Linked DNA regions of Pelodiscus sinensis. The protein of the gene in region 3 binds, or shares a complex with, the protein of the main gene of each other region. Links are inferred from orthologs where the notes say so. Each region holds a gene or a part of one and is shown on either strand. Other genes may lie near its edges.

Region 1 (7,428 bases), on a different chromosome or scaffold from region 3:
ACAAAGAGGTCCTCAGGCTGTGTGATGTCATGGGCATGGAAGCAATGTTTATGAACAAAACAGTTTCATGGTGATGTCATGAGAACAGATGATATATGGATGCTGAAGATGGTCTTCTATGACCAGCTTGTTCATAGAAAGCACTCTGTTATTGGTGGTTATTATAAGCATTATAAAGATATTTTAAAGGCCAATGTGAAGTCAAGTGCTGTATCTCCCGATGACCTGGAAATCATAGCTCAGGATAGACTATTCTGGCAGTAAACTATTGAACAGGCTCTCAAACACTTCAAGAGTCAATGTATCCAGACATTACAGGAAAAGTGCAGGATCTGAAGAGTTCACAACATCTACAGAGGGCAGATTTTGATGTGACCTCTATAATCAGATTTGCCAAACAAGCATTGGCTTAGTCGCTCACCAACGGTGTCATAGAATATGAGCTCCATCGGTTGAAGGTTCAGTACACACACCCACACGCAGAAAATGCCCATTAAAATGTCTTTTGAACTCAAACATTTTTTTGTAAGTATGCAAATCAAATATGACAGCATTTTGCTAAAAAATGAGAATCAACCGCTAGAAGGTAACTGATTGACTTTGTTCCAATCCAAATGAAGTACAGAAAGAAAACTAACAACGTAATGATTGATGTCAAACAAGACATTTAAAATCTCTTGAATTTTAATCAGTGCTTTTTTTGTAAGGGAAAAGGTGTAGGTACTCTGGGGCAAACTTGTTGAGCAAAAAAACCAGCCTCATGTCGGGGGCTGAAATGTGGTCACGGCCCCTTTAAGAGCCATAGTGCTGCATTGGGAGCCGGGGGAAAAAAATGCCGCGCGTCCCAAGAAGGCTTCCGTCAGGAGCCGAGCTGCCCCAGGAAACAGGTGCCAGTATGTTCAGGGAAAATCCCATTCTTTTTCTGTGGGCTGGGAAAATAGGTGACAGTACGCCATTGTGGGCACTACCAGCACAAAAAAAGCACTGGTTTTAATAATCTCACTGGTTATTAGGCATGTGAAGGGGTAACTGGTTACCCAATAAGCATTACCCTTCCTCAGTGATGCTATCAGGTAACAATTAACTGGTTCCCTGGGAGCAGCCCTACCTATAGTCCCGTGCCAGAACGATTCTCCCTCCTGGGATCCTTCTTAGTCACTTAACCAGTTAAACATTAGGTTAACCTACCATTTAATGGGTTACCTGGTTCATTGGAATTTTACATCTCTAGCACTGGTTACATCAGAAAAAAAGGAACATTTTAAATATAGATAGAGACAAATTCAGGTCCGGTTTGGAGCCGAACTAGAAATAAATTTGGCCTCTAATTTCTAACTTGACAGGAAAAACATTTAAATGATATATATTTTTAAATTAGATATTCTCTGTCCTGAATATCTCTCTCTATATAAACATAAAATGTAATTATTGAGATCTGTCTTACACACATAGTTTTGTATGTAGTATATTAGAGGCAGGGTTCATATGGTTCAAAAAACCTGGACTTTTTTTGAGTTGCAAGTTTATGGGCATGTTTTCTGGTGGAGCCAATACTAAAGCAGGTTAATAACATCTCTGGCCACTTTCCCTTTGTTCAGATGAACAGGCTTTAAACACCAAATCAAACAAAAACATTAAAAAAAAAACCATGAACAGGACATGCCATATTTCCAAAGCTCTCTTCCCAGCTTCCAGAGTAAGCTGTCATCTGCTTTCTCCTGAAATCTGTCTAGCCACTTTTTAAGGCTTTCAGCTTGATTACCTGAGCTAGAGATAGGAAGCCTGGGGCCTCTCCATGCATTCTCAAGTTCAGGGGAGTCACTCTCATCCTAACCTACTTGACAGAGTTGTACCATGTCTGAACATGATTGCCAGCAATTGTGGTTAGCTGACACAGTAACGAAACCGGATCTGAATCAGGACAACCCTTCACCTTGTGTAGTCATTTATATCAGTTCAAAATGGATTTTATATAAAAATGCCACATAATCTTGCCAACCTCATCATGGCAATCCCAGATCTATTCTGCTAATAGTACTTTGAAATCTACGTTTATTTAATTGCAATGGATAGCAGCAAATGTCACAATTACATAATCAAAAGGATATTTGATTATTTTCCTGTTCTAAACTTGCAGCTTTATTGACATGGAATGTTTCCATAACCATGGAAATGGTAGACTATAATAGGCCCTGTTATAGTAAGTGCAGTAACTTGATGTGTTTGTTCAAATGCTGATACATTTAACATTGTTCTTTATTTGACTGGTCATGATTAGCATTTGAATTTTAACTGAAATAAATTAAATTAACTTAATACTGTATTAAGGTAAATGGTGGAAGTTCACATCTCTCCTGGTGATGTTTCAGCCTGAATGTTTTAAGCTGAAAACCAAAGTACATTAGAGAAATTTACAGTATGAAGGGCTAGCTGTTGAAAATATAAAACCAAAGCTGTGATCACTTGTCAAACATGTAATATTGAATACCAATTTAATGCCAGTTTTAGCTCACTGATTAGTATGCACACAGCTTTCTACTGAAATGCAACCTCTATGGGATAGAATACACCAGCTATTTCTTCAAATGAAACTGCAAAAAGAGTTTTAGTAGATAGAATTGTAACACCCCAATGAAAATTACATTAGCACACAAAGGTTAATAACTCTGATCATGAATAAAAACATTAGGCTTGGCTTCCCACACCCTTACACCCCATGTAGCTATGTAACCCTATGTCACTTTGTAGAAAGAGGTATCATTTTTATGTGATAGCATTTTATTTATCCTTTGCACTACTGTTCATAACTACACAAGGCACTGGGGTAGTCCTGTTTCAGGCTCAGTTTCATTACCATGTCAGTTAACCACACTTGTTGGCAATCATGGTTAGGCATGGTACAACTCTCCTCATCTCCTGCAACACTTTACTCTGTAACACCATGAGACATTGGAATCACATGCCCACAACAGAGGAGTCTTCCTCTCTATAGCCTTGCCTGGACTAGTGATCTGCTTCCTTTTTAGCCAAGAGTGTAGTTGCAAACCCCTACCATACGCAGAGTAAAATGTCCTACCAAGAGCAAACCCCTACCATATGCAGAGTAAAAAGTCCAAAAACCATTATTAGAATCAGTGCACCTGCTTAAAATTGGGGTAAATTCATCACATTTTTCTTTTTTTTTCTGGTTTGTGATGTGCTATAGCTTTAGAAAGATGTTCAATTCACAACTAAATGAGCCACCTTTGGGAAGGGAGGGAGGAGTGAGGAAACAGTCACAGCACCGTCTCACCTGCTTTTTCTCCACTTTTCTCACACTTTCTCCAAACTGTGCTGTTACACTTTCTGCCTCCCGTCTCATAAACCTCCTCCCTCGCCTTACATTTCCCTCTATAGCCCCCTCATATTTCCATCCCCACCCCTAACCAACCCCTTCCTTCTTTGGGCTTCTTCCTTTTTGCATGGTTCCTACCTCCCCCCCACCCCCCCACAACTAGTCTGTCTCCATACTCCTCCCTCACAGGTCCCACTCCCCAAACACTTACTCTCACTCCTCCACCTGCACCTTCCCATATGTCTCTCCCAAGCTCCCCTTCACAATTCTCCCCCTCTCTTCATCACACCTCCCCCTCCCACAACACCTCCTCCTCTCAACACCCTCATGTCTCTCCTCCCACTCACGCATCCGCCATCTGTCCCCTCATAGCCTCCCACCTTTGCATGTATCCTGCCCTCCTCTCACCGCCCCCTCCCCATCGTCTCCCCCTCCATTACCCCCCACTCCACTTCTCCCTTCCCTCCCTCTCCTGCCTTCTCTCCCCTCCCCCCTGGCCCCTATGTCCCTCCTCCAAGCTCTTCCCCTTCCCACCCTCCTCTCCACTTGCCTCTCTCCTCACACCTCCTCACCCCTCCCCCGACCCGTATGCCCCTCCCCTCCACTTGCCTCTCCCCTCACACCTCCTTGCCCCTCCCCCGACCCGCATGCCCCTCCCCTCCACTTGCCTCTCCCCTCACACCTCCTTGCCCCTCCCCGTCCTGCATGCCCCTCCCCTCCACTTGCCTCTCCCCTCACACCTCCTCGCCCCTCCCCGTCCTGCATGCCCTTCCCCTCCACGTGCCCCTCCCCTCACACCTCCTCACCCCTCACCTGCACGTGCCCCTCCCCTCACACCTGCTCGCCCCTCCCCCGTCCCGCATGCCCTTCCCCTCCACGTGCCCCTCCCCTCACACCTCCTCACCCCTCACCTCCACGTGCCCCTCCCCTCACACCTGCTCGCCCCTCCCCCGTCCCGCATGCCCTTCCCCTCCACGTGCCCCTCCCCTCACACCTCCTCTCCCGGGTTCTCACCCCTCCCCGCCCCAGAACGCCTCGTTTCTGCCTCTCACAAAATGGCGCCGCCGCTCGGCCCCGTTTCCCGCCCAGCCCGGCGTCACGTGACCGCGGGGCGGGGCGGGGCGGCGCCGCGTGCCGGGAGCGGGCGAGAAGGGCGCGAGGCGACGGGTAAAGTTGCTGGTTCCCGTGCGCGGCTCGCTCCCCTCAGGCGGCGGCTGCGATTCGCAGCGACCCCCCCCTCCCAGGGCAGCCCCCCCTCCCCAGGGCAGCCCGGGACAGCCCCCCCTTCCCCAGGGCAGCCCCCCCCTCCCCAGGGCAGCCCCCCCCGCCCGGGACAGCCCCCCCTCCCAGGGCAGCCCCCCCCGCCCGGGACAGCCCCCCCCTCCCCAGGGCAGCCCGGGACAGCCCCCCCTTCCCCAGGGCAGCCCCCCCCTCCCCAGGGCAGCCCGGGACAGCCCCCCCTTCCCCAGGGCAGCCCCCCCGCCCGGGACAGCCCCCCCCTCCCAGGGCAGCCCGGGACACCCCCCCCCTCCCCAGGGCAGCCCCCCCCGCCTGGGACAGCCCCCCCTTCCCCAGGGCAGCCCCCCCGCCCGGGACAGCCCCCCCCTCCCAGGGCAGCCCGGGACACCCCTCCCCCTCCCCAGGGCAGCCCCCCCCGCCTGGGACAGCCCCCCCTTCCCCAGGACAGCCCCCCCCTCCCAGGGCAGCCCCCCCCTCCCCAGGGCAGCCCGGGACAGCCCCCCCTTCCCCAGGGCAGCCCCCCCCGCCCAGGGCAGCCCCCCCCGCCCGGGACAGCCCCCCCCTCCCCAGGGCAGCCCGGGACAGCCCCCCCGCCCGGGACAGCCCCCCCCTCCCAGGGCAGCCCGGGACACCCCCCCCCCTCCCCAGGGCAGCCCCCCCTTCCCCAGGACAGCCCCCCCCTCCCAGGGCAGCCCCCCCTCCCCAGGGCAGCCCGGGACAGCCCCCCCTTCCCCAGGGCAGCCCCCCCGCCCGGGACAGCCCCCCCCTCCCAGGGCAGCCCGGGACAGCCCCCCCCTCCCCAGGGCAGCCCCCCCCGCCTGGGACAGCCCCCCCTTCCCCAGGACAGCCCCCCCCTCCCAGGGCAGCCCCCCCCCCTCCCCAGGGTAGCCCGGGACAGCCCCCCCCGCCCGGGACAGCCTCCCCCTCCCAGGGCAGCCCCCCCTTCCCCAGGGCAGCCCCCCCACCCCAGGACAGCCCCCCCTTCCCCAGGGCAGCCCCCCCCCCGCCCGGGACAGCCCCCCCTCCCCAGGGCAGCCCGGGACAGCCCCCCCGCCCGGGACAGCCCCCCCTTCCCTAGGACAGCCCCCCCCCCAGGGCAGCCCCCCCCCGCCCGGGACAGCCCCCCCCCTCCCCAGGGCAGCCCGGGACAGCCCCCCCTTCCCCAGGGCAGCCCCCCCTTCCCCAGGGCAGCCCCCCCCGCCTGGGACAGCCCCCCCCTCCCCAGGGCAGCCCCCCCTTCCCGGGACAGCCCCCCCTCCCCAGGGCAGCCCCCCCCCCCGCCCGGGACAGCCCCCCCCCTCCCCAGGGCAGCCCCCCCCCGCCCGGGACAGCCCCCCCTTCCCCAGGGCAGCCCCCCCCCTGGGACAGCCCTCCCTTCCCCAGGGCAGCCCCCCCGCCCGGGACAGACCCCCTTCCCCAGGGCAGCCCCTCGCCCCGGGGCAGTGCCCCCCTTTCCCTGGGCAACAACCCCCGCCTTCCTGGGCAGCGTCCCACTTCTCAGGGCAGTGCCCCCCTATCCTGGGCAGGGACACCCCCTCGCCAGGTGTAGGGACCCCCCCACCCTAGGGATGGGACCCCCGGCCCAGTTAAGGACTCCCATTCATCCTCCCCTGCCAGCCACCTCCAGGATTCTTCATTACAGACAGGGACCTCCCACCCTACCCACTAGGGCAGGGACCCCCCCTCTCTGTGGGAACAAGTACTCCCCCACCCATCCCCGCCAATGGCAGGAAGTCTCCCGTCCATTATGGACAGGAAGCCCTCCACACTCATCACCTCCAGGGCCCGGGACCCTCACATCACTCAGGGACCTCTCTGCCCCCTCACCCTCAGCACAGTTGGGAATTCCCCTGCCCATATGTTTGGGGCGGAGATCACTCCCATGATAGGCAGGGACCCCCTCCCATCTCCCTAGGTGGAGGGACACCCTATTCCCATCACAGTTGGGATCACCATCCCCATCATGGGTAGGGATGTCCCACACATTCTTAGGGGCATCCCTCATAGGGAGGGAGTTATTCCCTCCAGGGGCCAGGATACCCCTCCATCATAGTCCAGTATCCATCCTACAAGGGTCAGGAGCAGCATCCCCCTTCCCAATTTGAGCAGCAGCCTTATCCCCACCAGGGGAAGGAACCCACAGAGTCCTACCACCAGAGCCAGGAGCAACTCCCCAGGGGTAATATCAGTCCCTTTGCATCCCTCCGGACAGGTAGTCTCTACCCAAACAGGAACTCTCCCCTCCCTTTGCTACCATGGACAGCAGTCTTCCCCATCCTCACAGTGCCAGGAGCATTGTCCCAACCCATTTGGGCCTAGAGCTAGAAAACAATCCCCCCTCCTTGCCAGAGGCTGGCTGACTCCTCCCTCCTTTTCATCTCTCACAGGGCCAGGGGTCAGAGTGGATAAAAAGTGATTTAAACATTTTTTTATTCTTTTGAAATTGAAATCAGATGTATTTACTTAAATGCATTTTTCTTTTTAAAAAATAAACCCATTGAAAATTAAAATTGAAATGTTCAACCTATATTAAGACATACACATTTACTAAATTAAAATCATTTAAACTAAATACAAATAATTCAAGAAGCACGTTTGCTATTGAAGTTTAAAGTAAAACAATCAGACTGGTGGAAGTTGCCAACTAAGCACCTAAAACCAGAATTTGCTGATATGCTAAACCAGATATTGACAGCAATAACCTCTTCAGGTGCAAAGAATACTGTCTTCAGCTGAGTTTATTCAACTAGTTTAGTTCATTGGCCAGTTAATATTAAGTTCTTTCACCTCAATTCAGCCTAGGAAAGGTGCCACCACCCTTCTTATTCTTCAGAAAAGAATGAGGAGGTCATACT
Region 2 (7,325 bases), on a different chromosome or scaffold from region 3:
AGTCCCTCTGAAAAGGAAAGTGGCACTGCTGGAGTCAGATGTGCTGGTGGAGCTGTCACTGTAACGGCAGCACCAGATTGGACAGGATGGTGTTGTGTCAACATCTGAACCTGTGGGTAAGGCCGAACAACCACCGGTTCCTGTTTCTCTTCACGAGACTGTAGAGAGCCACTGGGGCCCATGTGCTCTCTGGGACCAATTTCTGACTCTCGATTAGATTCATCACTCACTGGTGAGGAAAGAAAAAAGGAACTCTAAGGAAAAGGATACAAATGGAAAAGAAGTATGCACTCATTGCCAACAAGCCCTCAAATTGAGTGCAAAATGTACACATACAAAGGCAGTTTGTTTAAAACCTCCTGCACAAGAGACATTACTAATCCTGGTATAATATAAACCTGCTTGAAAAACAAAAGTCTCCAGAAGTCATTAATCCTCTTGCAAAGTGTGCTCTGTATTCCTCTTTGAGCCGTAAGGATTATCTCCACACATCATGGTCTAACACAAGTCACTGACAAGACACAATCATCCTTCTTAAAATAAACCTCTAACTGTAGCCTCTTTTTAATCTAATTCATAGTAACAAAATAAACTGATTGAGACCATCCGATCCAACAATGACTAAGGCCTCATGGCATGTATGCAATTTTTTTTTTATTAAATAATTCACTAAATGCAAGACTGTCTAACTACTTTCTCCAATTAAAAATAAAAATAAATCATCAAAGCAAAATCTACAAAAACAGAACACAAGCTGCCCCATTGGACAGTGATAATTAGACTAAAATTGGAATTTCTACCTTATTTCCACCTCATAAATTCTTAAGAGCACAGGAAGCTCAGCTGTAAACTGTGTTTTAAACACGATTATTAGGGCAATCAAAACCTACCTAGAATTTGTTTTATACTTACTTCTCTCAGAATCTCCTACCATAATTATGAATTTGAATTCTAAAAACATGCTTCCTTCCATCTTACTCTATAAGATCATATTGACTTACTGCTGGAGGCATCAGTAATGTGGCAACTCACTACTCAGGCCCTGATCCTGCAATGAGCTCCAGGTCCCCGGGGCAGGCATCTGGTAGCACAGATCTCATTGCAGAATTGGGACCTAAGACATCAAACACCAATCAAGAGTTATGGAGATAATGAAACAGTAACAGGTATTTCTAACACGGGCTTGAAAATGATCAGATACATACCCTCATTTAGCAATTAATTAAAGGAATATTGACAAACCATTTTAATCCACTTTCTGACAATATCCCTTTAATACATCAGCTAATCATGCACTTCTATTTATAGGTGAACACAGCCTATGTTCATGGGTGTATAGTTTGTTCTGAAGCCACTCCCTAGTTTCCACCTACCTGTGATGTCTTTGCAATTCTCCCCTCCCCAACAGAAAGGCCAATTAATATCTTGTACAACAACTATACTTTACTTTTTAGATGATTTCTAAACAGTCAAAATGTTTTTGCTAACATTGTTTTTCTAAGGCAACTTGAATATTCCCCGCCCACACTTATCCGGTACAACATGTGGGGTGTGAAAAAAGAGCTTACTACAATTCTTCAAATTAACATACCTATTTATATCAGCATTTGAGTCATGTCTGTCTTGGATGTGTTTAAACATCCAATCATCTTAATACAGTTCTGCAGAGCATGCAGCAAACGGTCTCAAACTTCCTCAGAATGAAATTGTTTTGGTAGGAAAAATGAATCTTCCATAGCTGTTTTACCTGTGGTTGTTGGGTTTATCAGCCCTGTAGATCCACTGTTTGAAATTGGGGGTGGTGCTTGTCCTAGTCCTGCAGGAGGGGCTCCAGAACGGGGAAACTGCTGAGAACTCATTTCCACCTGCGCAATGTGATGAAAATTGTAAGCAACATAATCCTGGCAATATGTTCAGCCTAAGACGCTCACACTTGAAGAGATGTGATCGCTCTCCTATCATGCAGGGAATGAGGTGACAATTTGTAACATAGCCCCATGGAACAAGGGGCATGCATTTTAATGGGAAAAGCTGGTTTGAAAGCAGACACGTTATCACTTGGTAAAGGAAGGTGGAAAGCAGGGCCCAACGCTCCCACAGTCTGATACCCGGCAGGGCGGTGCTGCTCTGGGTTGTGGATGACAGAGACCAGACGTGGAAGGGAGAGGGATGTTTCTTCAGGGCGCACTGCAGGGACCAGGGCAGCGCGCTAGGCACGGCACAGCATCACCCTGAGGCTGTGCCACAGCAACCAGACCGCCTCCTGCAATGGGCACCAGCTCCTCAGGTATCCCCCCCCCGCGCTCGCGCGCGAAGTACCCACTTCCCCCCCCTCGCACCAAGAGCCCCATAAACCGGCTACTAGCCCCTTCGCTGATTGGGTGGCATAAAGGAGACTACGTCATAGCCCTGTACCAATCCAAGGTCAAGCTGGGCCACGAGCCAATCGAACGCAGATTTAGGCTCGTGCGCTCAACCAATCGAGAGCCCAGCCCACTAGTGACCTCATGAGAGAGCTAGCCAATAGGATAAGAACGCACTGGCCAATAGGGAGCAATTGTCCACGCCAAGTCCCAACCCACCTCGCTGTGAGGGACGCGCAGAGCCCGGATGTTCACAAGCAATAAAGCGCAACGGCCACCAACAAGCCATTGGCACCTATGGGGCGGCTGGAAGAAGCGCCCCGCCCCCGGAGAAGTAGCCCCTCGCTCCTAGCCCTTGAGAAACCACCGTCGGGTTTCCTCCCCTCCGTCCAGCCTCCCGCGATCCTCTGCCGCCGGGTCTGATCCGGAGCCCGCCTCCGAGACCCCCCCCCTTTTTGGCCCGCCCGCCCAAGCGGCACGCGGAGCCGTCCCTGACCTGGGCTACCTGCTGTCCCGTGCGCGCGCTGGGGCCTCGCGCAGCCGCCTGCGAATCCGTTTCTCCCGCTGACACCAATGCTCGGACTCAAGCTCTCTCCTTCCACCGCCGCAGCCACCCTCCGCCTGATTGGCTCCGGTTGGTGCCGCCCACAACGCGTGACCCCGCCCAATCTGGGTTGAAACGGCGGCATCGAAAGGGCTTCTGGGAAAAGTAGTTTAACCCGAGAGCGCTTCAGGGATAATCTCGCCGGCACGCGGAAGAAGGCGGGGCCAGACCTTGAGCAGCGATTGGCCAAGACAGCCGCGATTCTGGGCCTAAAGGGAAATATCATGCGGATCGGGAGGAAGAGGAGAACAAGGTAATCTCGCGAGATCGGGGTTGGGGGGCGGAGTTTAGCGTGGCAGGGTTCGTGTGTCGCTGAGCCTGTTGCTCTGGCCTGCAGCTCGAGCGCGTGCGGTGTCTCCCCCGGCGGCACGAGCGGCGAGCTCTTGCTCTGCCCGGCCGGTGCAGCGAGCAGAACGCTACTCCACATTTGCGAGTTTGGGTGCACTGAGCGTGCGCACCCGAACTGAGCAAACTCAGTGGCCTTGCTGGAGCCGCTGCCCTCTCTGCCCCCAGGGCTTGTAGGATTTGCGCCCTCCTCTTTGGAGGGGTTTAACATGATTATTGGGGGCGAATTTCAACGGGGTGTGGGTCATGGTCTGATCAGGGGGCAAAAATTTACTGGCTGGGGGGATCAAGCTGCTTTTTTTAGCGGCAGAAGAGGAGCGAAATTTGAAAAATCGGGGGTGGGGGGGTAGCCGTGATTAACCCCGGGCGGGGGGAACAGTGCCAGACCCTGTGCGTGGACAAAACCCCCATTTCGGGAGGGGGAGAGGTAGGAACAGTCACCCTGCGGGACGAGCCACCTGATGTCCTTGTAAATATCGTTTTGCCAGGGGTGCAAAGTCTTTTTTTTTTTTTCTTTTTTTCTTTTCCCTGGATGCTGCCTGTCAGCCCCGAGGGGAGGAAGGGGGGGGGCTCCTGGGCTTGAGTTCTTAAAGGCACCGGCTTCCCAATTCCTAGATGGTCAATGCTTCCTCTGTATGTGTACAAGTGTGAAATATTCTACAGACAGTTCCTGTCTCAAACTCTGCCTCTTGCTTTTGGAGTATTTAATAGTTTTCTCTTAGTTTCTATGTCTATCTGAAGTCACTGCATCTCCTTTCTCGTGTACTGTGCTGATGTGCTAAAGTCCCTCCCATCCACACCCTCTCCTGTACTGCAATCTCCTGACCCATGGCAGAGCCCACACCCGTCCCCCAAACTCCCCTTAGCATGCACCCCTCCTGCACCCAAACTCCATCCCAGATCCTGAGCACCAAACATGGCCAAGTATCAGAGGAATCACAAAAGTTTCACTTGGCCATGTGGGCGAGGAGTCCTGTGGCACCTTATAGACGAACTGAAGATAGTGCCACAGGACTCCTCAACGATTTTTCAGATTAAGACTAACACGGCTACCCCTCCGATACTTGGCCATGTTTGGTGCTCAGGATCTGGGATGGAGTTTGGGTGCAGGAGGGGTGCATTTCTCATGTGGAATTTCAGATCAATCAGATTCTGAAGCCAGTGCTGCTAACATCCTCATTCTTCAGTATCTTACCAATGATAGTAATGATCCTATTGACATCCAAAACACTAAAACTGCCTAGCTGCTTTGTGACCTCCATCAAGGAAAAACATTCCCTTTGCTCACACCTCTGTTTATGTTACAAGTATTCTCCTATCTAAGCCTTGGTGAAACTTTTGTTCATAGTGAGTTTTATACTGGAGAAGCTTCATTGAGAGAGCAACACCATCTCCTTTCTGATCGTTTTGTGGCTTCTGCTGTGCTTTCCTTCAACCATCTGGACACATAGATACCTTCACCATCTGGGAACCCTGATCAGTGTACAGCTCCGCAGAGTGGTGAGTTCCCTCTCTCTCTTTCTCATTCCCCCACCTCAAACTACCTCTGTAAGCATAGTTGGTGCAGTGTGGCATTGCTGTTAAACACAGCATGCAGAGTCCATGATGCGTCACACTGAGAGTGATGATTACACAATACTCTGAGTTGTTCTGTGTTAGTGGGTGGCAGTGTCTGTGTGTGTTTCAAAGTTTGGAATATAACAACCTTGAGTAACCTAGTTCCTGCAATAGAGCTACAGTGTGGTGGTGAATTATCAACGTTGAAAAATATGTTCCCTATGAGACCATAAGTAACTACAAGCAGGACAATGATATAATTGCTAAGCTCACCCCATTCCTATATCTGTAACAGGGACCAATTCTGTGCACAACCTCAGAGCCATTACAGTGATATACAATTTACTCGATAATCTAGTTACAATATATTAATTTTAACAATTAAAATTTCTGTTAAATGATTGTTTAATTGCAGTACTGAGTATCAAGTGATACTCATATGTATATGTTCTAGGTGTTTCTTTTAATTCACATCCTTAATACTTTTTCCACAGTATCTGTTCCCCATATATTTTCAACAAGCAAAAAGTTTCTTCTACTACACACATCATTATGGAAGGTACGTTTACTTGTCCAATATGCATAAAAAAGTGTTTTATTGTGCATTCATTTGCTTTATGAACCATGAGTTTTAGGAGTTAGGAGGCAGCAGTCACTAGGGTAGCTACTGGAGCAATGGGAGGAGACATGGAAGCAGAGGGGAAAAAGTTGAAGTTTATAATACATGCATTGCTAACAGGGAGGATATTTTATTAATAACGTATTAGCAATTACTGTTCTTATTATTAGTCGGAATTTATTAACTTGGGGTGTTCAGTCCCTTTTTTGTCTGTCAAGTAGTGTTTTCAATTATTTGTCAAGCAATGACTATAATCAAGGATCTAGGTGATATCAATCTCAAAAAACATTAGATCATCATTGATGGAATACATCCTTCTTTGGTAACACATACATTCAGGAGAATTATGCATGTTCCTTAAATTAATTTGTCTGTTGTCACTGGCTTGACAATCAGGCCTTGTTAATATTGTTTTACGTTGCTTATATGTACGCAATGTAGATCTCATATTTTCTACTTGAACTGACTGTTATATGGATTGCTTTTCCCATTTTCCAATTCACTAGCTGTTTCCTGTTCTGAACAATTCTCAGGGAAATGTTTTGAGGACAACATTAAAAATGTTTTGGCATACATAACGAGTAACACATATCCTGAAGGAATGAATAAGGCTGGACGATTGAACCTTCGAAGATTTGCTAGTAGATTCTCTTTGGAAGGCAAGGAATCCTTTTTTTAATAGAATAATCACATTACAATGGATGATACATGCTGTACAGGATTGTACTGCTGTCCCAACACTGGGATTATTTGGAATGTTTACCTTACCTTCACTGTTACTGTGATTGTCAGCATTACCTTCATTCACAGTTCATTTAAAAATTATATTGCTATCTATGCATACATGAAAAATATTGGTCAGTTACCTTATAAATTAGTAAGAATTATAATTCTTTGAAAATTAAAATTATCACTGTTCTTCATGTCTTATGAATATTCTCCTTTGTGATGCAAGGCACCAACAGCAGTCACTATCTGGTCAGTGAGCAATGATTTCTAATTTACAAAACAAATAAATAATCATAATCATACACTGAAAGTCACACCTTGTACTCCCACAATTACGAAGTATACAGTGTATAGATTTCCTTGCTATGTGTGTCTTGTATAATTTTTCAATACCAATGAGTGAACAGGAAATGAGATACAGGGGAAGATGCTTAACAGAGATGTAACATTGGTTGTTGCAGCAGGCAATCACCTTACTCATCCTCTTTGATCCATGTTCTATATTCAACAGATGGCACATTGTACCATTCAGCCAAAGGAAGAAAGGTTATCGTTGTGCATACCATGAAAGAAGCACGGACACTTTTTGAACGGTATCATGACAGTTTCATGGGTGGACATGAAGGAATATTCAAAACTAGGAATATCATGACTTCAAAATACTATTGGCCAGGGATGATGAGAGACATTGTCGATTAGGTATGTAAAGATTTGACAGTAATTCAGAAAGAAAGACATTGACTATTGAAATACAATTTCATGATTTATAAAATTAAGAAAATATATATTCGCTGTGGAAAGGTGAACTCTGTTCCCTTGGAGTACTAATGATCTAAGGAAAAAGTAATGTGATTGTGTTCTTCAATCTAAACTAGGTTGTGCGATGTCCGACTTGCCAGAAACAGGGAAAGAAATTACATGTGGATAACAGCTTGAGAAGCATAAAGGTGCGTTTTTTGTAGTCAGACACATTATTTATCAATTGTGACAAAGATAGGTCATTAATTCACTGTGTCCCACATTTAAGCACAGATTTTGATCGCTCCGGAGGCTATCTGTTACCCACCATGTAGCCATTAATTTTCTAGAGAAAAAGCTCACAGCCTCC
Region 3 (7,886 bases):
GGGGCCAGCAAGGGACTGTGTGGCTGCAGCAGCGGTTCCTCCAGCGCCCTGGGTCAGCCCAGGAACACATGGCTGCAGCAGTGGCCCCTCCGCTGCTTGGGGCAGGCCCGGGACCGCTGGTGATCAGGCCGCCATGCAGGACAGCTGGGAAGTCACCACACAGTTTTGGCCCCAGATTCAGCCCTGGTAAAGGACTACAGCTGGGTTAAGGCCTTGTGGTTGCTGCTTCTGGGGCAGGAGCTAGGGCGGCAGTGTGGCATGGGAGAGCCAGGGAGCTGCTGTGGTGGAGGATCAGGATGTCATTCTTCTGCTATCATCACTAGAGGAGTGGCACTGGAGACAGAGGCTTGTGTGCTGCTTAAAGTGTCAAACTACAAGCCCAAGATCAGAGAACTCAGCAAGGGAAAGCAAAGCCAAGGATAACACTAAATGGCAAGATCTGCATTTTTATTTATTGGCAACGACTGTGCTAGGCTGCATACTAGTCCTAGTCACTAGATTGAAGATTTGCATTAGCAGATATCAGAAATGCTGGTTAATTGAGGTTTCAGGTTACCTAAGTGCCAGATAATAGGGCTTTAACTATACTACTTTTAGATCACACTGGCTGCGTCTACACTGGTACGATCTTGTGCATAAGCAGCCGCTCTTGCGCAAAAACTTGTTGCCTGTCTACACTGGCTGCATGTTGTTGCGCAAGTAAACTGATGTACTAATGTATGAAATCAGGGCTTTTTGCATCAGAACTCTGACGCTCCTGCTCAGGAATAAACCCTTTTGCGCAACTGTTCTTGCGCAAGAGGCCAATGGAGACAGGCAACATGAATTTCTTGCACAAGAAAGCCCTATGGTTAAAATGGCCATCAGAGATTTCTTGCGCAAGAGAGCGTCTACGCTGGCAAGGATGCTCTTGCGCAAAAGCACATCTCTTGTGCAGAAGCACATGACAATGTAGACGCTCTCTTGCACAACTACTTTAACGCAAGAACTCTTGTGCTAAAGAGTTTTTGCGCAAGATCACGCCAGTGTAGACGTAGCCTTAAGGCTGTAAGCATTTTTCCCTTTACATTCAGTAGTAAGAACATTTACAAACCTGTGTGGGTACAGCACAGCATAGAAATTAGAAGAAATGCTGAGTGAACTGTAAGTGGATTAGGAACTTTCCTCACAAGTATCAGAATTAGTTCTTAAAATTTCTCTGATGAATACTGCTAATTTCTAAATTTTAACCTATTACACTTAAGAAATCTAAAATAAACATTGACTTTGACATCTTATACAATACTGGTTTCAGGTTTAAAAAAGTCTTTTGAAACATTCTAACTCAGGTGAATACTATAAATATTGATGATCATATTAGATAATGGGAAAGATGCTCTCTTAGATCCAGAGAATAGCTATATAATTAGAAGTCTGAACAATAATAGAGGAAAATACTGAGTTTCCAACTGACCAAAGAACAGCCACTTTCATGGATGTCTGAGATAGTAGGACTGATTTAATTATCAGCTCATCACCCTGCCAACACAGAAGCATAGACCCAAGCAATGGCGCTTATTATTATTTTGCTACTACTAAATGCCAGTGTTGAACTCTAGTGAAATGGTACCCATATTTATCAAATGTACTTTGCTCTAATACACTGCCCAACCACGTAACTACATTTTTAGTGACAGACTGGCAAATATAACTTAAAATAGCAATGTAATCTTCCCTTCAGCAAGACTGTCTACTCTTCTTCCAGAGAAAAGTCAGACACCAGTTTCAGTAAAATTTTCCTTAACAGGGCCTCCTTTTGCCCTTATGCTGAACAAAGAACCAGAGTGAAGGACAAAGAGAAGGGGGCGGCAACCACATCACTCTGCCTAACTTGCCAGCATGTTAGAAAACCCTCACCAGGCCCCAACAAAACTGCCGTTTTTTCTGACTACACAAGGTGAGGTAATATCTTTTACTGGATCAACTTCTATTGAGGAGAGAAAGCTTTCTCCCAGAGCTCTTCTTCAGGTCTGGAATTTCTGACCAACAGAGCTACCATAGTAGCAGCACTTCTGGCATCATCATGGGCCGATGATACTGCTCTCCTTATCCCAAACTGTGACAAGGCAATGAAATAGGTACTGCAAAGCAGCCTCATCCCCTCTTTCTTCACTGCAGTCAATATCAAAATTCCCGATCTATGCCACCCATTCTCAATAGGTAGTTCCGAGGCATCTTTCTTTATGTAGAAATTTAGCTCCAAACGAGTGAGCTGAGCAATACCTTTAGCCTAGCAAGCAAAGGGGACAGACGGGTTTCCACTTCAGGGCGTGCTGCCAACACCTGAAACTCAGTGCAACCCAAATCCCAAGCACCGCTTAGCTATGGATGACTGGTTAAGCCACAGGACCTAGTGCGCTGCTGTGATGAGCCGAGGGGCATCCGGAGCCAAGAGGTGAGCGCGCACAGCAACCCGAGCGTCTGCCCGGCCGGGGGAGGCTGCCAGGACCTAGGGGCAGCCGCGGAGATTCAGGACCCACCAGTCGCCCGCTTCTCCTCAAGCGACAGGCAGGCCCCCAGCGGGAGCGCTCCCCCGCCCCGGCAGCTACGCACGAGCCCGGGCGCAGCCCCTGGCGAACCCCTCAGCCCAGCGGCCTCAGGCGCGTCGCTCGGAACCGGGGCTGCGATCGGCCGCCGCCGCCCCGACACTGGAGCGAAGCGCCGCGCCGAGGTGCGGGGAGCGGGGGGGGGGGAGGGGCACGACGGAGAAAGCCCCGTGGGGGGGGGGGGCGGGAGGGAATCGCAGGGAACCAGGGCCCCGCCGCTCACCGTCATAGTAATAACAGACTTTCTTCTTGCCGCCGCCCTGACTGTACGCCATGGGGCCGCCGGGAGGCTGAGGCCGAGCCGGGCGGGAGGGAGGGAGGAGGGAGCCGAGCGAGCGTGAACTCGCGACGCCGGGGGCAGGAGCAACGCACCGACCCGACCATCAACAGCGGGGAACGGGGACGCGCTCACTTTGCAGCCGACCCGGGGGGGGGGGGAAAGGGCCGGGTAGCGCCGCGACTCCCGCCACCAGCTCGGCTGGGCCCGCCCGACACCTCCCCCCCGGCGCTGAATGGGGAGCCGCGCGGACCGACCGTCGGCCGGCCCGAGCGGGAGGCAGCGGCGGGAGGTGCGTCCCTGACAAATCAAATAGGGATGGGGCCTCTCCCCCTGTCGCAGTGTTACACAGTGGTACAGCCCGCCAGACTGCCTGCGCGAGGTAGCGGGCGACGCGCGCGTTCTCTCCCCCTCCCCACAATGGGGACGGTGTCTGCTCATGCGCAAAGCTCACTCCCCTCCCCTCCACCATCGGTCTGAATCGCGTCACGTGCTTGGGAGGAGGCGGGGCGGGGCTGCGCATCACTCCAGGCTCCGCTGTCTGACCCGGCACCCCAGAGGGGCGGCACGAGCGCACCCGCAGCTGCCACCCTGCCCCCGGGTGCGAGGCGGGGCCGGCGTGAAGCGGCCACTCAGACAAGCTCGTTGCAAACAGGCCGCGACTGGTCGCAAATCCCCCATCTTGTCTCCCCATTCTGGGGCGCCATTTCCGATTTAGGGATGGGGGAGGAGGGCTTTAACCAGCATTGCACCCCAGAGGCTACTTATGCACTTGGAAATTCCCGAGTTTTTTTTTCAAGTGGTGTCTCAGAAATCAGCTGACAGGCACAGCGGTCCTAAGTCTTGTATAAAGAAAAATATCACAAATACCCATTAGAGCCCCATTTTAAGGTTATTCCTACGTTTAGAACATGCAGCAGCAAGATATTTCCAACCCCAAATCTTGAGGTGTCAGTTTTGGAGCCTTAATACAAGTTTGATACCATCTTTAGTAGAGAGAAATAAAATCTGCTTAGCCTTGTATTTTTTAAAAAAAGTCTTATGCATGGGCAGCAGGTAATTTAGGCAAGGGAAGGCATTGCCTTCTCAAAACTGCCTACACTGCCCAGCCACCTAGAAGGGGCTGGGGCCATGGCAGCCCAGCAGCCAGGGAAAGCTGGGACTGTACAGCTGCCAGTCCAGTGGCCAGGAAGGCTAGGGCAATGCTGCATGGCTGGCACCCTGCTCTTCGGTGACTGGGGAAGGCTGGATCCGTGACACTCAGATGCCACTGACCTCGGGTGGCGATAGAGGAGGGGAGGAGAAAAGGTTATGAAGGGACATGATCTTGGGAAGGGGTGTGGCTTTGGGTGGAAGGGGCAGAGCCTTTGCTGTCTATCCCAGCTGGGCCTTTCCCCCACCACCCATGGTTTTATGGTCCAAATTGTGAAGAGGTGAATGAGAGAATTAATTCTTTCCAGGAATGTTTAAAAGTAAATAAATTACTGAAAAACAATACCCCAGATACGAACTAAAGCAAGGGATAATTTCATGATGTCATCTGGGCGGGGAAAAATCAACAAAAATAGAATTGCCAGATTTCTACTCAATCAATACAGTCATTTAAACAAAAAGCAATAACCCCAAAGTAGTCCAGTCTATTTATTTAAACTATTTCTTTATTACAGGTTGGACCTCCCTCATCCAGCACCCTGGAGACTTGAGCAGTACCAAATGAGGGGATTTGCCGGACCAGGGGAGGTCCCTCTACCCAGGATGTCCTGCTACCCTGTTTAGGGCTCCAGCCTAGCCTCACTGCTGTTTGCAGGATCTTGGCTGCCGCTGGGATTGGAGCTCCACAGCCGGGGGCTGGAGCTCTGTGGCTGCCGCTGCAGTCCCTGAACTCTATGGCTAGGGCCAGAGTTCCATGGCTGCCGCTGCCAGCCCCCCACCTGGCCGCCTGCTGCACCACCCGCCTCTCTGCGCCCTGACTCCCGGCTGAGTCTCCGCGCCCCCCCTGCCGCTCCTGCCCCACACTCTGACTTCCCTATACCGGGGCTCCGTGCTGGATCACGGATGTGCCAGACCACAGAGTCCCAGTTAAGGGAGGTACAACCTGTACCACGTTGGTCTATACCTTTAAAAGGACTCACTGTAAAGAATATAATTAAATGATGGATGTTAGCAGTGTAGATCTATAAAAAACAAATTGGGTGTGTCTAGACTGGCAAGGTTTTGCACAAAAGTGGCTGCTTTTGCGCAAAAATTTGCTAGCTGTCTACACTGGCCGCTTTAATTTGCGCAAGAGCACTGACTTTGTAATGTACAAAATCAGTGCTTCTTGCACAAATAGTTTCACGCTCCCGCTCAGGGAAAAGCCCTCTTGCACAAGAATACGTGCGCAAGAGGGCCAGTGTAGACAGGCACCTAAATTTTTTGCGCAAGAAAGCCCGATGGCTAAAATGGCCATCGGAGCTTTCTTGCGCAAAAGCGCGCCTAGATTGGCACGGATGCTTTTACGCAAAAGCACTTTTTGCACAAAAGCATCCTTGCCAATCTAGACGCTCTTTGGCGTAAATACTTTTAACGGAAAAACTTTTCCGTTAAAAGTATTTCCGCAAAATCATGCCAGTCTAGACATAGCCATTTTGTCAGACAAATCTTGGCTTGGGTTTATGTGCACTGAATTGTTTATGCAAATAGTTATGAATAAATACAAAGTATTGGAAGGAGGCACCTAGGCTGTGGCTCTAAGCATTTGAGGGTATAACCATCACCTCTGTGACATTCTAGACGATATTGGGTCCTCGAGGTCAGGGGACTGGACTCAATGACCTCTCATGGTTCCTTCCAGTTCTATGATTCACTGAAGGTACTCAAGATTGTGAGACTGCCATCCTAGGTAGCGAGGAGAGCCTGGCATGGAACAGGAGCTTAGATAGCTTTTGTCTGGCTGGTGAGGGGAGAAGAGTAAGCCAAAGAGGTGACAGCTCACCTTTGTGTTTTGTTTTTGCTGCTATAGTTCTGTACTTCTCAAGATGGAACCAATATCTCAGGAGTTCAGATTCTAACCTAGCTGCTGATTTCAGCCAGGAGCCAAGCAGCAGTTGGCATTGATTGGGTCTTTTGCTGTGCTTGATGGGCCTGCATTTCTTTCACTCTGATTAGTGTGAAGCAGAGGGGGAGCAGAGTAAACAAAGAAAACTGAGGGGAGGCAGTGTCCTGGTATAGTAGGAAACTTAGGACTGGGTTGCAGTCCACCTAAATGGCACCCATGGCTGATTGTCACAGCTATGTGGTCTATAGCAGCAGTCAGAGACTGTAGGCTATGTCTACACTACAGGCTTCTTGCGCAAGAATGGTTGTCTACACTGCACATGCATTCTTGCGCAAGTAAATTTACAGTAAAGCATCGGAAAAGAGGGCTTGTTGCACAAGAGTTATTCCTTTCCCCATGACGAATAAGCCTTCTTGTGCAAGAAGGCAGTGTGGACGGGCAACGGGTTTCTTGCACAAAAAACCCTTATGGGTAAAATGGCCATAAGAGCTTTCTTGCACAAGAGAGCCTCCACACTGTCATGGACGCTCTTGCACAAAAGCAGATGGCAGTGTGGACGTGCTCTTGCGCAAAAATTCTTGCTTTTCAGTGCACCCTGCTTCTGACAACAGCAACTACTCCCTTACTCTAGGAGAGGGGATTGAAGCCTGAGTCCTTCTAAACCCTGCCACCCTGGGCAAGGGTCCTGTAACCTGAGCCCCACCATATAGAGCTGAAGTCATTTGGCTTTAGCTCTGGCCTTGGGGCCGTGGAACTTGGGTTTCAGGCTTAGGCCCTAGTAAAAGTCTAACACTAGTGCTGGTGAACCCATTAAAATTGATCTGCTTTGGGGTCTTGACCCACAGTTTGAGATCTGCTGGACTATGATATACTCGGCTCTAGCTATCTTCAAAACAGTTGTATATACACCATTGCATTAACTTCAGAGTACTTTGTTATACATACTGGTCATTAAGTCTAGCAGAAGATTTATAGCTGTGCTCAACTTTACTCCCATGGCTATAGTGAGTAATATCAGCCATCAATAGATTGGCATATATGCAGAGAGAGAGAGAGAGAGAAGAATACTCTAGGGAACTAACAAAGTAATACAAATCTCAGTAAATATTTTACTTCAGCAACTCTTGCAAACAAAATTAAAGTATCTGCAGTGCCTCTCTTCAAAATACATGAGTGGTTCTCTTTTGAACTATATTGGTTTTGTGAATTCATGAAAACAACTTCAACATGTGAATATTTCTCATTTTCATGCATGCCACTATTTTATATGTTTTCCAGCAAGAATAATTATTCATGAGGGTGCCCGACTTATATTATGCCACATTACATGCAATGATTTTACTTATGAAAGTGTTAAGGGGTTCAAATCATTTGTCAGGCAGAGCAGAGAATTGAATCTTTGTTTTCTACATTCAAGGTAAGTCCTCTAACCACTGGACTATGAGTCATAAAGTGGGCATCTCTCCCATCCTCAGCCAGGCACCTTTCTCATTTTTACAACAAAAAATTCAGATGTCTAAGAAGCCAGCCTCCAAGAAAAGTGCTTTTGATTTTGTACTGCTGGAAAAGATAGGCATTTCTTTTCAGCCCTAACATAGGGCATGATTACACTGCCAGAATCTGTGGGAATTTAGCTGAGTACTTGCGAATCCACAATGAGTAGCCACCCTAGGTTTACAGTTTCTGGATATGGTCTGTCACATTGTCCTACACAGACTCTAGTCAAACCATCCTAACCCATGTGCTTCCTAACATCTCCCCCCGTTATAACCACACAAAACTTTTGGTAATGATCTACTGGAAAAACTTGATTGGTCATCTGTGACACCTTACCAAAAATTATCCAAGCTTTCCAACCCATCCTGCAGGGCCATCTTTTGGGTCTGCATGTTTCTGATAATCAGCACCAACAACATGGAGGAGATACCATGTGAAGAACTTGTGCTTCTTGCACTTTTAATCCCTTTGTCAGGAAATGGGCATAGTG
Region 4 (7,826 bases), on a different chromosome or scaffold from region 3:
TTTTTATGAGCCCGGCTTGCCATTGCCAATCAAAAACTTCTCTTATTCAGTTCTTCATTAGCTCTAGAGGCATCCTTTCCACATCCAGGCTACTCAATGCTGCTTTTATTGAAGGGAGGAGTCCTAAAAACAAAGATTTCCGGAATTCGGGGGTATCGTGTATCACATTTCCATCCATTCCAGTGCTCAATCCTGCCAGTCTTTGGAGAAATTTTTTCCTGATGAAATAAAGCTCTGGCCTTTCTCCTTCCCTCTGTTTATCCGAATAATATCTACCTCGAATGTCATCATTGGGGTAGAATAGATCATAAAGAGCCTTATACATCCTATTAAAATCAGGATTAATCGAATTGGCAAGATCAGCTGGGAAAGCAATAAGGTCCTCAGGAAGTAAGCACTCTTGCAAAACCACCAGCATATCGTCACTGGTTAGGTTGGTTCTGGCTAGTTTAGCCATCCAGTCCAGTGCATTGTTCTTTCTGCAAGGGCCTAGATTTTGCCCTACAGCTCTGGCTTGCTCTGGTGACAACACTCGTCTTTCATATTTCACAATAGGGTTTGGATCATTAGGGTGGAACACCTCAGTGGTGACAATGGGTTCCACCATACCCTCTACCAGCTCATTAGTTAATATAGTGTTCTCATAAATGTCCTTTTCAATGCCCTCGTTGATAGCAGAAACGAAACCTCTTGCAAGGCCTAGTTTCTGCTCTAGTTCTTTCAACTTTCTCTGGCATTCTGTGTGATCCATTGAGATGGGTTTAACTTGTCTTTTCTCATTTAATAGATGTCTCGCTGTAGCTTTAGAATCATTAAATCTAGCTACTTTATCAGTTATTTCACTCTCTAATTGTTGACATCTATTAATAACATCCTCCATTTGATGCGATAGCGCATCCCTCTGTGAACATAAGGTATTGTATTTGGTTTCTCTCAGAGCCAAATCAGCTTTTAATTTATTAATGGTAGAGTACTGTGCCATTCGGATTTCTAGCGAATCATTTAATTGCTTACTAAGAGCCTCTACCTCTACGTCTAATGATCTAGCCACCATGGCTAATCCTTGTATAATGGCTGCCTTTTTAGTCTTTTTATTAGGCTTGGGTTTGGTCTGAACAAAGATTTCCCACATTACTTTAAAATTCTTTAAACAATCTTTCCCTTTTAAATCACTTGCATCCCACACATTCACACTTTTAATAAAGACATTAATATCTTCTTCAAGAAGGATTTTATTTGACTGCTCTGCTGTCTTGCTGCCTTGCAGTCCAAAGATTCGGGGTGCCTTCTTGGACGCCATACCTTAAACTTGTAAGGGTCCTACCTTACCTTTATAAGTCTGGAAGAAACCTGGGGACTTCTGTGTTATCAGAGACAGTAGGCTGATCAGGCCTCTGCTCTGCAGAAATTCTCCTTAAGCTATTAAATAAATAAACTGTACGCAGCAGACTGCGCAGCACCTTTGGGGCGCTCCACGCAGTGAAGCAGCAGTTGCTAAGCAACCCGCCGGTAAACATTCCACACTAGGCAACGCTCTGAACCCCGTGAACATTCCAAAATGCAAATTGACTTTATGCAAATGTACTTGGACCGGTCAAAATGCAAATTAATTTTATGCAAATTAATCTTATGCAAATTAATCTTATGCAAATGGTGGAACACCTGAATGGAGGAACGTTCCAACCCAAAATGGCTACCCCAAACTTAAAATGGCAGATCGCCAGCACACCTGAACATTCTAAGAAAAACCTCTAAAGGGGTTTAAAATCTTAAAGTGGTGGAACGTTTATTCCATTGATGAAACGTCCTGAACCCAGAGGATTACCGCCTCTAAAGGGGTTTTAAAATGAGGTGAGTAACTTTGTCTTAGCAGCAGCAAGCCACCTCAAGGAGACCCAAAACAAGGGACCCTCAGTTTTAAACCTTTTAAATTCAGGTTAAACTGCCCAAAAGACTACTCCTTGAATTGCTTAGCTTGGCTCAGAAGTAGGACAAGCTAAGCCTTATCTCAAGGTAACACAGCTTAAGGATACCTATCCCCTCCTTGTTACCCTCTATCTGCCTAAATCCTAACAAACCAAAACCCACAAGCCACACACTTGATGTTCATTTGAGGTATGTACACTTAAATAAAAAAACTAAGAACTGACACTCTGAGAGGGTCCTGCCGCGGTTGCCACAATTCTGTTACCTGTCTATCGAACAGAATAAGGAAGGTCAAAAGTGTTTAAAGACACTTCCCAAAGAGTTAGTTTAATAACCCGACCAATCCGCAAGGTTAGTTTCTAATTCATTACATTTCTTTAATACCTCCTCAATTTGAATATTTAATGCATCTCGCTGTGTGCGTAATTTGTCAATTTTGGCATCCTTTATTTTAATTTCATTAACCAACTCCCTATTCATAAGTTTTCAAATTCAAACAGTCAGGTATTACTACATGCCAGGTGACTAGAGGCTAATGGTTTCTTAATATGATTGACAGTTTAGGTTACAAGAATGATACACATTACAAGACATGGGTCGCAGAGGAGCATCCTCACCCTGCTTAGCCACACGATCACCTTGGAAGAGTAAACCGGGAGAACGGATAGGGTCTCCGGGAAATGTACCCGCAAAGTGGTAAAACGGGAGTAGGCCCCGGCCTGCCCCGATTCCCTCCCCGAGTCACTGGACCGTATACAGCTATCTGTTGTTGATGCGTGCATCTATGCTCCACCCCCATAAGTGGGGGTGGGCCCAGAGGACTAAACCAGCCCACACCAGGTTCTGCCGCGGTTGCCAAACTGTTACTCGGAAGGCTGAGGTAAACAATGGCTGTGGGCAATTAATTAAAGCCTAATGCTGCCTCCCCCACAGAAGCCAGATTCAACCTGGAACACGTATTTATCACCCTTGGGAAGATAGTCAGAAATCAGGTCAGACCCGAATTTAGGGCCAAACCCTATATTTTAGAAAGATAGCAACACGCATCAACAACAAGAACCACAGTAAGTGACCCACCCTAACCTGGAAGAAAAGAGAATAGAAAAGATCCCGTATACAAAAGGAATATACTTTACAACAAGAATTGAAGGCGGCAATGGACGTCTGCGACCTCGTGGCTAATTTAAAGGAAGGACAGCAGGCAGATCCCTTGAAGTGGGGTATCCTCACCTCCATATGGCTGACACACTCCGGATTCCTTGGCACCAGTCCCTCGGCTTGGTGAGGCTCCGCGGGTACATAAACAATGGATAGTAAAGTCCCATAATCCAATGATACCAGTCCCAAAGTCCTTAGAGAGGAGACTTCTCTCACACCTCAGGAGGGCACAGTTAGTGTTAGACCTGGGCGGCCTTGACCAGACCACGTGCGGATGGCGCTTCTTAGGGGTGACGGCAGTAAGGCGGGAAACTGGGTTAGCGAGTGGGGTGCAGTAGAATAGGGCGGTGTGCATAGGAAAAAGGGTGCAAGGTGCATAACCTGGCTGCGCACACATCGCATTAGAGGGGGGTGCATAGGTTAGCATTCCTCCGTGTGATTTTGGCGGGAAGAAACTGCTGAGGTGATAATGATCAGTAGACTCCATTTTGAATCACTAGCCTGGGTAACATGTGCAAGAACGCACTTGCAGTGTAGACACCCAGCAAGTTTTTGCGCAAGAACAGCTGTTCATGCACAAAAAGTCTGCAGTGTAGACGTAGTTATGTCCACTCTGCACGCTTATTTCAAAATAGCAGAGTGCACGTCTAAACAGCAAGGCTATGTCTACACTGGCGTGTCCTTACGCAAAAACTCTTTTGTGGAAGAGTTCTTCTGCAAAAACTCTTCCAGAAGAGAGTGTCTATACTGGCATGTACTTTTGCGCAAGAGCATGTGCTTTTGCGCAAGAGCATCCATGCTAGTGTAGATGCTCTCTAGCGCAAGAAAGCACTGATGGCCATTTTAACCATAGGGCTTTCTTGCGCAAGAAATTCATGTTGCCTGTCTATACTGGCCTTTTCTGGAAGAGCTCTTGCGCAAGAGGGCTTATTCCTGAGCAGGAGCGTCAGAGTTCTCATGCAAGAAGCCCTGATTTTAGACATTAGGACGTCATTTTACTTGCGCAAGAACACGAGGCTAATGTAGACAGGCAGCAAGTTTTTGCGCAAGAGTGGCCGTTTTTGCGCAAGATCGCGCCACTGTAGACACAGCCCAAGGCTGTTATTTCAAAATAATTTCAAAATAACAGGCTTCTCCGACTTCTCCCTTTGACTTCCTGCAGTGTAAACAACATCAAAAGCAGAGTTAAGCTACTTTGACATCAACTATATTCCAGTTTTAGCTCCAGTGTAGACGTGCTCTGAGTGTTGGTCTGGGCAGACTGGGTTATGGCACTACCATCTTTGTCAGCTCTTGATCAGGAAGCTGCACGCCCTAGTCAGAACCCCACCTGCCAGCAAGGGAGGCTCCCTAGAAGACGTTCTCTCCCTGGGGGCTGGGAAGAACATCTTTAAGAGCCAACCCTGCCGCTTCAGAAACCAGCCAATCAACACAGCCCCCCATTGACTCTTTTCAATGCATCTGAGGAGTCTGAGACAATCGTGCTGGGGGCGGGAACCGCGTGGGCGTCACAGCGGCAGGCTCTAGGGCAGCGTTGACGTCACTGCTGATGGGGCGGGGCCAAAATTCTCTACGCTGTTTGTTTGGCAGCATCAAACCGGAGAGGGGCTTGCCAGGCCCTCCTTTGCCCCGCCCTCAGGTTGTTGGGCACTCTCCTGCTACGCATGCGCTTCTCCGCCTCGCTGCCTGAGTGAGCCCCGGAAGGGGCGGTGGCCGGTGGGCGGGAACGTTGAACTCTGGCTTCCTTGTTGCACGCGCATGTGGCGCGCGCGCTTTGGCGTCAGCGCCGCCTCTCATTGGCCACTGCCTCGGGGCCGTCGCGGGGCTGACCCGGAGGAAGAGCAGCCGGGGCGCTGCGCACGCGCATGGGCGGTTGGGAGTCTGGGACTCCAAGCCAACGAGGCCGCCTAGAGCCCTGCAGGCCGGCGCGCGAGCGGCCGCTTTTGAACCGCGGCGGAGACGGCGGCGCCAACTCCGCCCGGGGCAGGGGCGCGCAGCGCGGGAGGGAGCCCCAGTCACAAAATGGCGAATAAAGAGAGTAAGAGCCGCGAGGGGGGACGCGGGAGAGGGGGGGACGACGCGCGCGCGCACCTCAACCGGCTCTCTTAGGCCCAGACGGTTGTCGGTGGGGGGGGGGCGGTCCATTGGGGTGGGTATTTCTCCCCCCCCCATCACACACTTCGGCTCCCAGGAGCCCCCGCCTAGCGCGCCTCTCTGCCCGCGCAGTGTTCGAGGACACGGTGGAGGAGCGCGTCATCAACGAGGAGTACAAAATCTGGAAGAAGAACACCCCGTTCCTGTATGACCTGGTGATGACCCACGCGCTCGAGTGGCCCAGCCTCACGGTGCAGTGGCTGCCTGATGTCACCAGGTGGGTGGGACTCCTCCTTCCAACCCTCCCTCCAGGGCCCCGCTTCAAGCCGCCTGCCCCGCAGGGTTGGCAGCGCCCACTGAGACGTCCTGGGAAGGATAATCCTAGCAGTAAAGGGTTGCAACCAGTCAGTGATACCTATATTTCACCAGGACTATGTAGCACTTTAAAGACTAACAAGATGGTTTATTAGATGAAGTGGGTCTGGCCCACGAAAGCTCATTATTTAATAAACCATCTTGTTAGTCTTTAAAGTGCTACATTGTCCTGTATTTTACTTCAGCTATATTTCACCAGTCAGTGATACCTTCGGTATCTGGACTACTCTTGCTGCACTCTGTAGAGAGAAAAGCTGCCTGTTAGATTATCCAGGTTTGATATGCCTATTTAATGTTAAATGCCTTTAACTTCATTAATACGGATTTTTAAGTCGGTGCTGATGTCAAAATGCCTCTACTTAATGTGTACACACTGTTGTATTTACACTGTTCAAGCATAAACAAAGTTTTGTTAAAAACTTACTTGTCCAATTTACTGATGTCAAGAATACCTGGGGTTCAGCTGGTAAACATGTATGTGGCTGTGCCTAATGTGTCTGGGAAAAGTGTTTTTCCCAGTTCATCTGTAATCTCCCATAGAAATTGGGATGTTACAGAAGAACTTTATCTCTCAAAATATTTACTAATATGGAATAACTGTTCTACTTTTGTAAGACCGTTTGTTTTATTGAACAGGCCTGAAGGAAAGGATTATGCCCTTCATTGGCTAGTATTGGGAACACATACCTCTGATGAGCAGAATCATTTGGTTGTTGCAAGAGTCCAGATTCCTAATGATGATGCTCAGTTTGATGCTTCTCACTATGATAGTGAGAAGGGAGGTGAGTATTGCAGGAATTGTTGATTGTGTTCTTTTAGCAGTAATGTAAAACAGTGCCTATTCTGTTTAATGGTGTTCTAACTTGTAACCTTAAAAACATTTTTTCTTAAGAGTCTATTTGTATATTAAAGTTGTTTTTAGTATATTGCAGTGCCTCTCAAGCTTTCCAGACCACTACAGGCAGTCCCCGACTTACGCGGATTCGACTTACGTCGGATCCGCACTTACGAACGGGGCTTTTCTCGCCCCAGAGCCCACCCATGTCCTCTGGGGCGAGAAAAGCTTCTCCCGGTCTCCCTGGTCTGCTGGGGGGGTCCAGCAAAGGTGCTGGACCCCCCCCCCCCAGCAGACCAGGGACACCCGAGCAAAGCTGCCGCCTGAGCGGCTTTGCTCGTTTGCCCGGGAGCAAAGCTGCCCAGGCGGCGGGGGTCCCGCTGCCTGGGCGGCTTTGCTCCCGGGCAAACGAGCAAAGCCTCCCAGACGGCGGCTTTGCTCGGGTGTTCCTGGTCTGCTGGGGGAGTCCAGCGGCTTTGCTGGACCCCCCCCCCCAGCAGATCAGGGGGACAGGAGCAAAGCCGCCCAGGCGGCGAGGGTCCCGCTGCCTGGGCGGCTTTGCTCGCGTCTACCTGCTCTGCTGGGGGAGGAGGGGGTGTAGCTAGTGCGCCCCCCTCCCCCCTCCCAGCAGACCAGGCTTTTGTTGCGGGACGCCTCAGGTAGAGCAGCTGGGGTGCTGCCAGGTTGGTCCTGTGGGAACCTACCGGGCAGCGCCCCAGCTGTTCTGTCCCAGGCTCCAGATTCAGCAGCTGTTGAAACTGATCAGGCTGATTCCAGGAAGCTGGGGGCAGAGCAACTCTGCCTCCGGCTTCCTGTAGTCAGCCCCTGGTCAGTTTGTGGCAGCAGCTGAATCTGGAGCCAGTTCCAACTTACATACAAATTCAACTTAAGAACAAACCTATAGTCCCTATCTTGTACGTAACCCGGGAACTGCCTGTATACTCATTTCAGGAGTCTAATTTGTCTTCCACACCCCAAATTTCACTTCACTTAGACCTACTTGCTTCAAAAATAGATTTAAAAATTACAGAAGTGTCAGAGTATATGTAACTAGGCAAGTATCTGGATGAGTTGATGTATACCCTGGAAAACCTCTAATATCCCTATGGGTACATGTACCCCTGGTTGAGACTCAGTGGTTTAAAAGTGTAGTTCTAGAGCCTTAATATATTTTAGTCTAGAATGACCCTTTTAAAAAAAATATCTGAAACCCGATAACGTGCATTAAGTCAAGTCAGTATTGGAGAACTTCCTGCAAGAAGTTTCCTGTTTCGTATAGGTATTGACTTGACTAAGTTTTTCAGTTGTGACACTAAAGCTGTGATCACCAACCTGTCGATCGCGATCGACTAGTCAATCGCAAGGCCTCGACCAGACGATCATGAGGTGTTTGGGCTCCTCCAGGCCTCATTTTCCCCCCACCTCCGAGAAGCCCCAC

Evidence for each region.
Region 1: HDAC2 (region 3) and ZNF541 share a complex: the UniProt entries of both Homo sapiens proteins name them as parts of the histone deacetylase complex. The link is inferred for Pelodiscus sinensis from reciprocal best matches to the Homo sapiens genes HDAC2 and ZNF541.
Region 2: HDAC2 (region 3) and SAP130 share a complex: the UniProt entries of both Homo sapiens proteins name them as parts of the mSin3A corepressor complex. The link is inferred for Pelodiscus sinensis from reciprocal best matches to the Homo sapiens genes HDAC2 and SAP130.
Region 4: HDAC2 (region 3) and RBBP7 share a complex: the UniProt entries of both Homo sapiens proteins name them as parts of the core histone deacetylase (HDAC) complex. The link is inferred for Pelodiscus sinensis from reciprocal best matches to the Homo sapiens genes HDAC2 and RBBP7.

Annotation. Positions count from the first base shown.
Region 1 is NW_027465999.1:199,487-206,914, forward strand, and holds the start of ZNF541 (zinc finger protein 541), read left to right. Parts: upstream 1-4,415; 5' UTR 4,416-4,501; intron 4,502-7,428. UniProt on the Homo sapiens protein: Transcription regulator which is essential for male fertility and for the completion of meiotic prophase in spermatocytes.
Region 2 is NC_134720.1:5,765,068-5,772,392, forward strand, and holds the start of SAP130 (histone deacetylase complex subunit SAP130), read right to left. Parts: upstream 3,008-7,325; 5' UTR 2,869-3,007; exon of another isoform or gene 2,860-2,868; intron 1,866-2,859; 5' UTR 1,860-1,865; coding exon 1,748-1,859; intron 1,115-1,747; exon of another isoform or gene 1,003-1,114; coding exon of another isoform or gene 1,002-1,002; intron 230-1,001; coding exon 1-229. UniProt on the Homo sapiens protein: Acts as a transcriptional repressor. May function in the assembly and/or enzymatic activity of the mSin3A corepressor complex or in mediating interactions between the complex and other regulatory complexes.
Region 3 is NC_134713.1:81,522,057-81,529,942, forward strand, and holds the start of HDAC2 (histone deacetylase 2), read right to left. Parts: upstream 3,019-7,886; 5' UTR 2,861-3,018; coding exon 2,809-2,860; intron 1-2,808. UniProt on the Homo sapiens protein: Histone deacetylase that catalyzes the deacetylation of lysine residues on the N-terminal part of the core histones (H2A, H2B, H3 and H4).
Region 4 is NC_134711.1:210,747,428-210,755,253, forward strand, and holds the start of RBBP7 (histone-binding protein RBBP7), read left to right. Parts: upstream 1-4,815; 5' UTR 4,816-5,106; coding exon 5,107-5,122; intron 5,123-5,310; coding exon 5,311-5,455; intron 5,456-6,189; coding exon 6,190-6,335; intron 6,336-7,826. UniProt on the Homo sapiens protein: Core histone-binding subunit that may target chromatin remodeling factors, histone acetyltransferases and histone deacetylases to their histone substrates in a manner that is regulated by nucleosomal DNA.